Arabidopsis thaliana: one gene and its partner. The protein of the gene in region 1 purifies or fractionates together with the protein of each later gene. This does not show direct contact. Each region holds a gene or a part of one and is shown in the gene's direction. Other genes may lie near its edges.

What was found. The genes of interacting proteins can lie anywhere in the genome.
Region 2: the proteins of AACT1 (region 1) and ALDH6B2 fractionate together in Arabidopsis thaliana (co-fractionation; one large-scale study listed by BioGRID). This does not show direct contact.

The regions. Positions count from the first base shown.
Region 1 is NC_003076.8:19,329,942-19,334,828, forward strand, and holds AACT1 (Thiolase family protein), read left to right. Parts: upstream 1-1,605; 5' UTR 1,606-1,713; exon of another isoform or gene 1,714-1,797; 5' UTR 1,798-1,820; coding exon 1,821-1,860; exon of another isoform or gene 1,861-1,924; coding exon of another isoform or gene 1,925-1,985; coding exon 1,986-2,084; intron 2,085-2,164; coding exon 2,165-2,338; intron 2,339-2,426; coding exon 2,427-2,532; intron 2,533-2,640; coding exon 2,641-2,779; intron 2,780-2,902; coding exon 2,903-2,980; intron 2,981-3,062; coding exon 3,063-3,128; intron 3,129-3,201; coding exon 3,202-3,287; intron 3,288-3,395; coding exon 3,396-3,606; intron 3,607-3,693; coding exon 3,694-3,735; intron 3,736-3,815; coding exon 3,816-3,902; intron 3,903-3,978; coding exon 3,979-4,064; coding exon of another isoform or gene 4,065-4,068; exon of another isoform or gene 4,069-4,086; intron 4,087-4,170; coding exon 4,171-4,204; 3' UTR 4,205-4,336; downstream 4,337-4,887. Other genes in the region: AT5G47710 (Calcium-dependent lipid-binding (CaLB domain) family protein), read left to right, coding at 529-639, 769-864, 944-1,237; AT5G47730 (Sec14p-like phosphatidylinositol transfer family protein), read right to left, coding at 4,651-4,887. UniProt on the Arabidopsis thaliana protein: Catalyzes the condensation of two molecules of acetyl-CoA to produce acetoacetyl-CoA.
Region 2 is NC_003071.7:5,976,772-5,983,668, reverse strand, and holds ALDH6B2 (aldehyde dehydrogenase 6B2), read left to right. Parts: upstream 1-1,769; coding exon 1,770-2,007; intron 2,008-2,052; exon of another isoform or gene 2,053-2,090; coding exon 2,091-2,188; intron 2,189-2,262; coding exon 2,263-2,334; intron 2,335-2,422; coding exon 2,423-2,584; intron 2,585-2,652; coding exon 2,653-2,731; intron 2,732-2,827; coding exon 2,828-2,982; intron 2,983-3,088; coding exon 3,089-3,152; intron 3,153-3,414; coding exon 3,415-3,494; intron 3,495-3,687; coding exon 3,688-3,753; intron 3,754-4,011; coding exon 4,012-4,062; intron 4,063-4,151; coding exon 4,152-4,303; intron 4,304-4,591; coding exon 4,592-4,682; intron 4,683-4,793; coding exon 4,794-4,874; intron 4,875-5,074; coding exon 5,075-5,152; intron 5,153-5,221; coding exon 5,222-5,257; intron 5,258-5,349; coding exon 5,350-5,393; intron 5,394-5,480; coding exon 5,481-5,559; intron 5,560-5,656; coding exon 5,657-5,747; coding exon of another isoform or gene 5,748-5,818; exon of another isoform or gene 5,819-5,835; coding exon 5,836-5,942; and 2 more. Other genes in the region: AT2G14160 (RNA-binding (RRM/RBD/RNP motifs) family protein), read left to right, coding at 6,868-6,897.

The DNA.
Region 1 (4,887 bases):
GTACCGTTCTTCGCTACTTTACTCATTCTTTAGGGTTTCAAGGTTTTCTATTGGTCTTGTTGTAGACTCGAGTAGCTTCTGGGTTCAACCCACAAAGTTTGAGCCTTTTTTGATTTGCAGAGTCCTCTGTGTTTCTTGGTTTGTCTCTTGATCAAGGTCTGCTTGCGATTTTTGTTTCTTTCTCTACCTTACTCGCTAGATAGATGTTTCTGTAGATTGGCAGCATTTGGTCTCTCTGTGTGGTTTTATTATTTACTGATATAAGTGTGAATCTTTCCCAGAATTTCGTTTTCTATATCAAGAAGCTCTCAGAAAATTTTGGGCTTGGCGTAGTTGTTTAGATATATCCTAGCTTCCTAGAGATTGAATGTTGAATGTTGAATGACTAGTACTTCCTTCTCTTTCTCTGTGTCTTGGTTGTCATATTCAACTGATTGTCTAATAAAGACAGTTGCTTTAGCTCTGTTATTCACGAGGATTGTCTCAAGAAGTTTCTAAAGTTGGTAGCATGTGTTTGTAGAATCTGAGATGGGCGAGCCACTAGGACTGCTCCAGGTGACTGTTATTCAAGGAAAGAAACTGGTGATCCGAGATTTCAAGTCAAGTGATCCTTATGTGATTGTCAAATTAGGAAATGAGGTATGTTTGGTCAGTGTTTTTCATTGTTCTTGGCAACTAGAACCAGTGTTTGTGTTTCTACCAAGGAAACAAGTATCTCGTTGTGTTTATTTGTCTGTTGATGTGATGTTTTACTGTTTTGAAAACCAGTCAGCGAAGACCAAAGTGATCAACAATTGCCTGAATCCAGTGTGGAATGAGGAACTGAACTTTACTCTGAAAGATCCTGCAGCAGTTCTCGCATTGGTATGTCTACATCTTCATGAATCTTTCCTTTTGTGACCATCATGATCATGATGCTGAGATTGTTAATGGGGTGGTGCAGGAAGTGTTTGATAAAGATAGGTTCAAGGCAGATGACAAGATGGGCCATGCCTCTCTCAGCCTTCAACCGCTTATCTCAGTTGCCAGACTAAGACACGTAGTCCGCGTGTCCTCTGGTGAGACAACGCTTAGGAAAGTATTACCGGATCCAGAGAACTGCGTATCTCGAGAGAGCACAATCAGTTGCATAGACGGAGAGGTGGTGCAGAGTGTGTGGCTGAGGCTGTGTGCTGTTGAATCGGGTGAGATTGAGTTGAAGATAAAGTTGATTGATCCTCCTGGAACAAACAAGTAGCAATAGGGTATTTTATGTTAGTTTGTAACACGAGACCCGTTTGTGACTAGTATAATTGCAACATCAGTATGGTCTTGTCTTGTTTCCAAGTGTGCCTTTGTGACTACTCACCAATTTATTAGGAATCTTTGAGATACATTGTTCTGCTCTCATCACTTAGCTCTTCCTTATTTTTCTTCTTGTGTGTACATTTTGATGGAAACTCCAGGTAAACTACCATCAATGGCAGATTCTCATAACTCTCTACCTTCTTAATAATAAAACACCTGGAAGAAATTATCTGGCAACAAAGCTATCACGCATACCAAGGTGGTGGTGGAACCGACACTGATATTGGTATCTTACGTCACACACACACTTTGTTGTTATCTCTATATCCACCTTTTTCTTTTTGGCTCAATTATGATCTCTCTCTTTCTCGTTTCCTCGTAATCTTAACACAAGCTTGATCGTCCTCATCTGCCACCAAACCAAAGGTGATGCGTTTTCTTAGCCAAGAACTCAAACTTGTGATATTTCTTTTGATTCTCATCATCTCTGCATTTTCTGAATTGGCTCAGACATAATTTCTTCGGTGACTTCCATGGCTCCGCCTGTCTCTGATGATTCCCTACAGCCTCGAGGTTCTTTCTGTTTCTCCTTCTTCTTTTTGTTCTGTTTCAGTTTCTACTGTTTTCTGGTTGGATCATGTATTTATCCTTTGATCCAGCAGTAATGGCTACTTACAGTTCAGTTCCGGTGTGTGCAGATGTTTGTGTTGTGGGAGTGGCGCGAACGCCTATAGGGGACTTCCTTGGCTCCCTCTCGTCTTTGACTGCTACAAGACTTGGGTCCATAGCCATCCAAGGTAGTTTAGTTATACGACTACTCTCTGTCTCTCTCTCTGCTTCGGCCAAGTTTTCATTCTCTTACTGTTTCTTCTCATAGCCGCACTTAAGAGAGCACATGTTGATCCGGCCCTTGTGGAAGAGGTCTTCTTTGGCAATGTCTTAACTGCCAATCTTGGGCAAGCACCAGCAAGACAGGCTGCACTTGGTGCTGGGATTCCCTATTCTGTGATCTGCACCACTATCAACAAAGTTTGTGCTGCAGGAATGAAATGTAATAACCTTTTATTACTCTTCTTCTACTCCAGATGATCATTCGAACGGTGTATATATCACTGCTTTTACTTCACTTGTAACCTCAGCTGTAATGCTAGCGTCTCAAAGTATCCAGCTCGGCTTGAATGATATTGTTGTTGCTGGTGGGATGGAGAGCATGTCAAACGTACCTAAGTACCTCCCGGACGCAAGGTGCTTTTTGAGTTTCCTAACTCAAACTTGTAGAAACAAACCCAAGAGAGGCATATTCCATCTGTTTTTATCATCTCGTTTATTCTTTACTCTGATTTCTGTTAGCAGAAGGGGTTCTCGATTAGGTCATGATACTGTTGTTGATGGTATGATGAAAGATGGACTTTGGGATGTCTATAATGACTTTGGAATGGGAGTTTGTGGAGAAATATGCGCTGACCAGTACCGTATTACAAGAGAAGAACAGGTCACTCATGTTCAAACTTGATCTGTCTTTCCAGTTTGTTCCCATGGACTCATGACTGATGTGATGATGAGACTGTCTCGCTGATTCTCTATTCCTTGACGTACAAAATTTTTCTCTTTGTAGGATGCTTATGCTATCCAGAGCTTTGAGCGTGGTATTGCTGCGCAAAACACTCAGTTGTTCGCTTGGGAAATTGTTCCGGTACACCTCTCCTTTCCTTGCATTCCAGGAATTCACTTTATGGCATTGTAATGGAATATTGTTCATAAACTCATATTGATAGGTCGAAGTTTCCACTGGAAGAGGGAGGCCTTCAGTTGTTATTGACAAGGATGAAGGATTGGGGAAGGTAAATAGTTTAGGAACCACTGCTTCTCTTGGGATAGCCTTGATTGATCTTAACTTTGTTTGGCATGAACCAGTTTGATGCAGCCAAGTTAAAAAAGCTTAGACCAAGTTTCAAGGAGGATGGGGGATCAGTCACTGCTGGAAATGCATCAAGCATAAGGTCATCTTTTATCTCTCAATTTTGTTTCTTCATTTGTAACTCTGCATGCATTTTGTCTTGTTTACTTCCAACAGCCACTTATTGGCTCTGGTTTACGTTGGTGGACAGTGATGGTGCGGCAGCGTTAGTGCTAGTGAGTGGAGAGAAGGCTCTTGAGCTTGGACTGCATGTTATCGCTAAGATTAGAGGATACGCTGATGCTGCTCAGGCACCAGAGTTATTCACAACCACGCCAGCTCTTGCTATTCCTAAAGCTATAAAGCGGGCTGGTTTGGATGCATCTCAAGTGGATTATTATGAAATAAACGAAGCATTTTCTGTAATCGCACATGCTGAGCTCTCAGTGTTCTATAGTTGTTCGGTATGTATAAAGAGGTCTTGACTGTTCTGGCTTGTTTCCCTACAGGTGGTAGCTCTAGCCAATCAGAAACTACTGGGATTAGATCCTGTAAGTCATGAAACAAGTACAGTTGTGGATGTAGCAGATCTTAATTTTCAGTCTCTGATTATGTATGTATACATAAACAGGAACGGCTCAATGCGCATGGAGGGGCTGTTTCACTGGGACATCCATTGGGCTGTAGCGGTGCTCGTATCTTGGTCACATTATTGGGGGTAAGTCGTAAGATCAAGCGACAATAGTGTTGAAATTAATCCACACTGAAAATGTGGTTGAATACTTCTGATTCAGGTGTTGAGAGCAAAGAAGGGAAAGTATGGAGTGGCATCAATATGCAACGGAGGAGGAGGAGCATCAGCACTTGTCCTTGAGTTCATGTAAGCCCCCTCTTTAACTCTGGTAAGCGTAGCCTTAGCACAAGCAAGAGATTACATGTCAATTAATGCTTCCAACACAATACTTTTAACTTCAACTTGTTGACAGGTCGGAGAAGACAATCGGATATTCGGCACTCTGAAGCTAAGAGCTGTTGTTTTATAACGCAAAGCTTATGTATATGGTTCATGTGTGTGTCACAAGACTGTAACTTTGTACTTGAGAGAGATGCAATAAAAGTGTGTTAGAAAATGAGCGGTAGATTTCCCAAGACAAGTGTGCAATAGCTGTTTCCTAAACTGTTGTTGTTCAGCCAAAGAGCAGATCAAACACCAAAAACACAGATGCTTAGGGAAATGAGAGGTAGATTTCCCACAAATAAATTTGCTACATTAGAGGATCAAATAATACTATACATAAAACCAGAAGTGCATTCAGTTCAAGATTTATTCTCTTCTTTTCGCTTTACATTTGCATGGCTAGGGAGCGGACACAGCTCAGTACTCCCTTACTCATTTGAATTGCTAGCTCACCTGTAAAATATATATCTCAGTTGTGGAGGCACTGAAGGAATTCCCTCAGAAGCATTCAGAGGTCACCATTTGCCAGTGTTTCATGACTGGATTTTCTGTCATCAATGGACACGGCCAGACCGTTGCGGTTCTCAAACTTGTGCAGCTCCGATTCTATGGTTTTGGCTATCACACAACGTTCAGCTTCAGGCTCAGGAAAACCCACGTGGAATGATCCTTGCTTTGCAGGTTCTGCTTGTCCTTGGGTTTCATAATGGTGCTTCACATAGTTGTATAGCTGTTGATGGAAGGG
Region 2 (6,897 bases), on another chromosome or scaffold:
ATATAGTACATAATCTTTATTACAACAAACAATACAATTCTCTCTATTATTCTCTAAAACAATCTTCCTTTTCTCCAAAAAAATATTTCTTTTCTCCAAAACAATCTTCCTTTTCACCAAACAATCTTCTTTTTCTCCAAACATTTATCTTCATAGTTCATCAAACATGAGATCTTCTTCATCTTATAATCTTGACGATAAGTTTGATCAATTTTTCAATGAAACATTATAGAGATATGTTGATCGTCAACCAACCAAGTCAACAAAAATGAGCATATATTGCAAGAGATCGTGAACTAGGACACATCCAGTTGTAGAACGATTATTTCAAAGAAGATGCGACATTCCCTCCTCATATATTGTGACACCGATTTAGAATGAACAAGCCATTGTTTATACGTATTGTTGACGGACTCTCCAATGAAATTTCATGCTTTGAACAAAGAAGAGATGTTATCGGCAGGTTAGGTTTATCGGCACTACGAAGTGTACAACAACAATTCATATGATTGCATATGGTTGTTCAGTGGATGCGGTTGACGAATACCTACAGATTGTGAAAGCACTTCGATATCATGTATGATACATTTTGTTGAATGAATTATATATTTGTTTGGGAAAGAGTATCTAAGTAGACCTACACGACAAGATCTTAAACGACTACTCCGTATTGGAGAGGTACATGAATTTTTTGGGATGATAGGAAGCATCGATTGTATGCACTGGAAGTGGAAGAATTGCCCCACCTTTTGGAAAGGATAATATACACGTGTATCTGGCAAACCGGCAATAGTGTTAAAGGCTATTGCTTTCCAAGATCTTTGGATATGACATACTTTTTTTGGACCTCCAGATTTCTTAAATGATATATATACTTGATTGCTTACCAGTTTTTGATGATAAATTACAAGGTCGAGCTCCAAAAGTGAAATATATCGTCAACTGGACCTACTATCATTTGGTTTATTATCTCACTGATAGAATTTATCCTAAATGGGCTACATTTATCCAATCTATTTCAATTCCACAAGGTCACAAAGATTCTTTATTTGTTACAAATTAAGAAGCTTGTTGTCAAAATGGTTAACGTGCTTTGGGAGTTTTGCAAACTTGGTTTGTAATTGTCAATCCAGCTCTTATTTGGGATAAGAAAAAAATAGGAATGATCATGCGAGCATGCATAATACTTCCCAATATGATAGTAGAGGATGAACAAGATAAGTACATTCAGTTTGATGCAGCTGAATTCACACAACCAAAATCAACCAGCTCTTTACAAATGGATTTCAACTATTTTACAGATATGCTTTCAAATCTCGGCAATATTATGGCCGCTCGAGCCCGAGTTCGTGATCTGGCTATACATCCACAATTGAAAGCTAATTTGGTTAAGCATATATAACAAACATTTGGCGGGAATTAAGCTAACAATTAATCGTTATTCTGATTTTCGATTTTCGTATTTTATATATGCTTTTATGTCATGTATCTTTAAAATTGGTGTATTTGCAATAACTATTCAGTTTTATAAAATAAAATATTTATAATTTTTATTTTAATAATAATTTTTTTTTAAAAGCCCACTTTTTTCATTAGACAAAAAAAATTTAACAATCTATCCAAAACTCTTAAATTTGAATTTGATAAAATTTATAATTAAAAGATTTGGAAGAGCCCCATAAAAAGCTCTTGGACTTGCTTTTAGTTTTAAAATTGTTAAGGCTAAATATCTTTTTTTTTTTTGTCAACCATGTACATATATCTTGGTGATGGTGAGAGTCAAACAAAAGAATCTTGAATCTTATAGATCTAACGGTACATATCCACCCACGTGGCGAAATCCAACCACTTCATTCGCACCCGATCAACATCGAGTCAGCATTCACTCATCACTCAAATCCAAAACCAAAAGGAGACGCTTATACAAAGAAGCAGACGACAACACCAAACTCCGATCATCATCATCAACAACAACAACAACAACAACGATGCTGCTTCGAATTTCTGGTAAAAATCTCGATTCTCTTGTACTCGAATCAAAATCTGCAGACTTCGATACTATCGAAGCTAGTTTTTGTTACTGTTTTCAGGTAACAATCTGAGACCTTTGAGACCACAATTTCTCGCTCTTCGAAGCTCTTGGTTATCAACTTCGCCGGAGCAATCTACTCAACCACAAATGCCTCCGGTGAGTTCTTAGATCGATTTCGATGTGATTTTTATTCAAAAGTTTTGATTTTTCGATGTGGGTTCTGTTTTCAGAGAGTACCAAATCTTATTGGAGGTTCTTTTGTTGAGTCTCAATCATCTTCGTTTATCGATGTTATAAACCCTGTAAGCAAACTCTCTTATGAGTCCTATACTCTTGTTTGATTACTTAAAGGTTTGAACTTTGAAGTAAATTCTGATTTGCTATTATTAGGCTACACAAGAGGTTGTATCTAAAGTTCCATTGACTACTAATGAAGAGTTTAAAGCTGCGGTATCCGCTGCGAAGCAAGCGTTTCCGTTGTGGAGAAACACGCCGATTACTACCCGGCAGCGTGTTATGCTAAAGTTTCAAGAGCTTATACGCAAGAATATGGTAGCTACCTGGTTTAGTTTGCTATGATCTTGATATGTGCTTGGCTGAAAGTTTTGATTTTTCTGTAGGATAAACTTGCTATGAACATCACAACCGAGCAAGGGAAGACTTTAAAGGATTCACATGGTGATATCTTCCGTGGGTTAGGTTAGTATTTTATTTATGTATTGTAGGTTTGATTATATGATTGACAAGAAGAGGAGAACCTTAGTGCTTATTTTTGGTACATGGTTTCTTACGCAGAGGTTGTGGAGCATGCGTGTGGAATGGCAACCTTACAGATGGGTGAATATCTCCCCAATGTGTCGAACGGAGTTGATACATATAGTATTAGAGAGCCATTAGGTGTTTGTGCTGGCATTTGTCCTTTTAACTTTCCAGCCATGATTCCTTTATGGGTAACATGCTAAGCCCTTTTTTATATGGCTTCATTATGTATATCGTTAATTCTTTGTGATTCTCTTATGTGAATTCTGCGTATTTATTATGTGTTTGTTAGTGCAGATGTTTCCTGTTGCAGTGACATGTGGTAATACCTTTATTCTGAAGCCATCAGAGAAGGATCCCGGTAAAATACCCTTATTCCTTCGAACTATTCCAGTTACTAATAGACACTTCTGTGGTGTTTAATTGATGTATGGGAAGTTCAAGATGTCTTGACTTTCAGATCATGTTGTAACATATCGTTGATGCCAGTGTAGTGAACATGCATTTTACTACCACCGCCAATGTGATGAGCGAAATGTATTGTTGATTGACTGTTTTCCACTATAGCTATAGAGGTCCCTTCTATTGATTGGTTGATTATTGATATTACTTGCTTTCTCCAGGTGCTTCTGTAATACTTGCCGAGTTGGCAATGGAAGCTGGTTTACCTGATGGGGTTCTCAATATCGTTCACGGAACCAATGTAGGTTATGTTTAAACTTTCTGCTCTTTCTAAATTTCTTATTTGTTAGCATTTGAATTGTTAAAGTAAGGATCCCGTCGAGAGATATTATGGTGAATATTCTAGTTTGCAATTAGAGTAACCTAGTTTGTAAAGATTCCGCACTATTACCTTCACTTTCTTTGTTGTCACTGAAAATGCATCTGTTGCACAGGATACTGTGAATGCTATCTGTGATGATGAAGATATAAGGGCTGTTTCTTTTGTTGGCTCCAACACGGTAAGTACTTTTTTTTTTATGTTGCTCTTTTATAGCCTGCAGACTTGGCTTTGCATTTGACCGAGTTATTTACAAATATTCATTTAGTCAGTGTCCTGTGTAATTATTTCAGCTGTCTAATAAAACGTTAATTGTATACAAAATCATACCTTAGATCTTCAAAATCTGTCAATATGGACTGGTAATGGCAGAATTGCTTTTCTTCTGAGCTCAACCTTTTCGTTAAACTTGCGTATTAATGCATTGTTTTGTTTAAAGGCTGGAATGCATATATACGCAAGAGCAGCAGCAAAAGGAAAACGTATTCAGGTAAAGTCTTGCATCTTTTCCCATTTAAAAGTCTTCCTTGCTATTTCGAAACGACACTATGTCAAATTGCTTATAATATATTGACTCAGTCAAATATGGGGGCGAAAAATCATGGACTTGTCTTGCCTGATGCCAACATCGATGCAACTTTAAATGCGCTACTTGCTGCTGGGTTTGGTGCCGCTGGACAGAGATGCATGGCACTGAGTACAGTGGTTTTTGTTGGCGATGCAAAATCATGGTACTGCTTACTTTATATATTCAAATTACTCCAGTTTCTCGAATATCTTATATTTCTTGTGATAAACACATTTTCCTGTAATCTTTTTCTCTCGTACGGTTTCCAGAACCACGCCTTTAGGGTGCTTAAGCCATATATAGGATAGTTAAGATAACACCATTTTCTTTAATTTAGATTGACTATTGTTGTGTCCTAATACTAAATGTAACTGAAGAATATGTATGAGGCCTGTTGATTTTCATTTGACAGTCATGAAAGATTAGCTTTAACTTGTCTAATACTAACCAGGGAGGATAAACTCGTTGAGCGAGCTAAGGCCCTTAAAGTCACATGTGGGTCAGAACCAGATGCAGACCTGGGTCCTGTGATTAGTAAACAGGTATTTTCGCGCACAAACCTCTGAACTTACATGTGTAAAAATTATGTTTAGTTTTGCATTCTGTCTGTTGTTCAATATGTATACGTTATTGTTAAATTTTGATATGACTAGGCGAAAGAACGGATATGCCGGTTGATTCAGTCTGGTGTAGATGATGGTGCTAAATTGCTGCTTGACGGAAGAGATATTGTGGTATTTTCCCATTCTCCATATTTACTGCTATTGCAACAGACTCATGCCTTAAATATAGCACTACCCTCCACATTCTTATCAAATAGTAATCATCAAGAACCGCAGAAATATCTTGATTTAATAATCTTTGTGTAATCTTGAAAACAACGCAAAGATCAACTGGTCCGAGAAGTTTATATGTTTTCTCTTATAACAAACAGGTTCCAGGATATGAGAAAGGGAATTTTATCGGTCCTACCATTCTATCTGGTGTTACCCCAGACATGGAGTGTTACAAGGTATTTTCTGACATTAAGGCAAATGATCCGTACTCTACTTGAATCTTAAAAATTCATTTTTCTTCGCAGGAGGAAATATTTGGCCCTGTTCTTGTGTGCATGCAGGTCAGATTGGAAAACTAGTCTTATATCATTCATTTATTCGTGAATTGTGAGATTAATGCCCTCTGATGCTTTTGTGACATATTCATTTACAGGCAAACAGTTTTGATGAGGCCATATCTATAATAAATAAAAACAAGTAAAACACCCTGTTCTATCATCATCTTAATACTAAAATTTAATCGTCTCATCATCTTCAACAATTTGCTACTTACGCCGTCAACAGGTATGGGAACGGTGCTGCGATTTTCACGTCGTCCGGGGCAGCAGCAAGAAAGTTCCAGATGGACATAGAAGCAGGACAGGTATGAAGAACTTTGGGCCCTATAAAATACAACATTACTTGTATGCATTTGATTACATGTTTGATATCTTCTTTTGTTGTTGTTAATGTTTGCCCAGATCGGTATTAATGTTCCAATCCCGGTTCCATTACCGTTCTTTTCCTTCACCGGGAACAAGGCCTCATTCGCAGGAGATCTTAACTTCTATGGTAAAATTCTTGTCACAACTAAACAAAAGAAGATCCATTCTCCTTTCTCTTTGCTTATATATATACTTTGAGTGAACTATTTTTGCAGGCAAAGCAGGAGTGGACTTTTTCACTCAGATCAAAACTGTTACACAACAGTGGAAAGATATTCCAACTTCAGTATCTCTGGCAATGCCAACGTCTCAAAAGCAATAATGAGACCTTAACTTCAAATACTTTTTTTACTTTTGGATTATCGAATCAGCTTCAAGAAGAACCCTTTGTTTATTTTTCAGCTCTCTAGTATTTTCTCATGCTTAGTTTCCTTCTTTTAATCACTATGGTGACTAGAACTCTAGAAGTAACCATGGGAATAAGAAAAAGTAAAAATCTCAAATTTGCCTAATTTGTCAAATAAAACCCCTAAATGACATTCTTTGAGTCGTAAACTCATAAAAGTCAAAGTGAAACTTATATATACAAGTTATTATGTGTCTTCATTCCCAATTGAAACCCAAAAATCCCTGAATTCAATAAACTCGAATTACGAAATTTTGAGTTTTATTTTGACTGTTTTTTAATTATCATGTAAACAACTCAATCTACATGGACCATGACCAAAGAAAACTGAAACCTTAAACCTATAAAGTAGTATCATTATTTAGTGAAAACTAGTTCCCAAAAAAAATCACTAGTTTAAACCTTATTGTATTTTTTGAACTTTAAGATGTTGTAGACTCATCAAAGTCAAAGTTAACGATCTTTAATTTATTGTGTTTTTTCTTTTCCAATTAAAACCCAAAATTCAATAATCTTTGGATCGAAAATTTGAGTTTTGTTTTGACTGTTTTTCTAATTATCATCTAAACAAACTATACACGACCATGACCAAAAAACATAAACTTTTCGCCTTCCACTATAAAAGTATCATCATTTAGTGTAAACTAGTTCCAAGAAAAAAATACACTTGTTTCAAACCATATTAGAGTTAATAGCATTTATCGATATCATCACATGCATTTACCGCTAACCTTTTTCTATAAATTGACTAAAGTGTCTCTCATTTTATGTCACTCATAAAATTGCTATGTTTTCTACTTAGAAATCACTACTTGTTTTTGAACTCTCTTACTCTTTCAAAATGGCTTCCACAAATGTTGAATTCACGTGC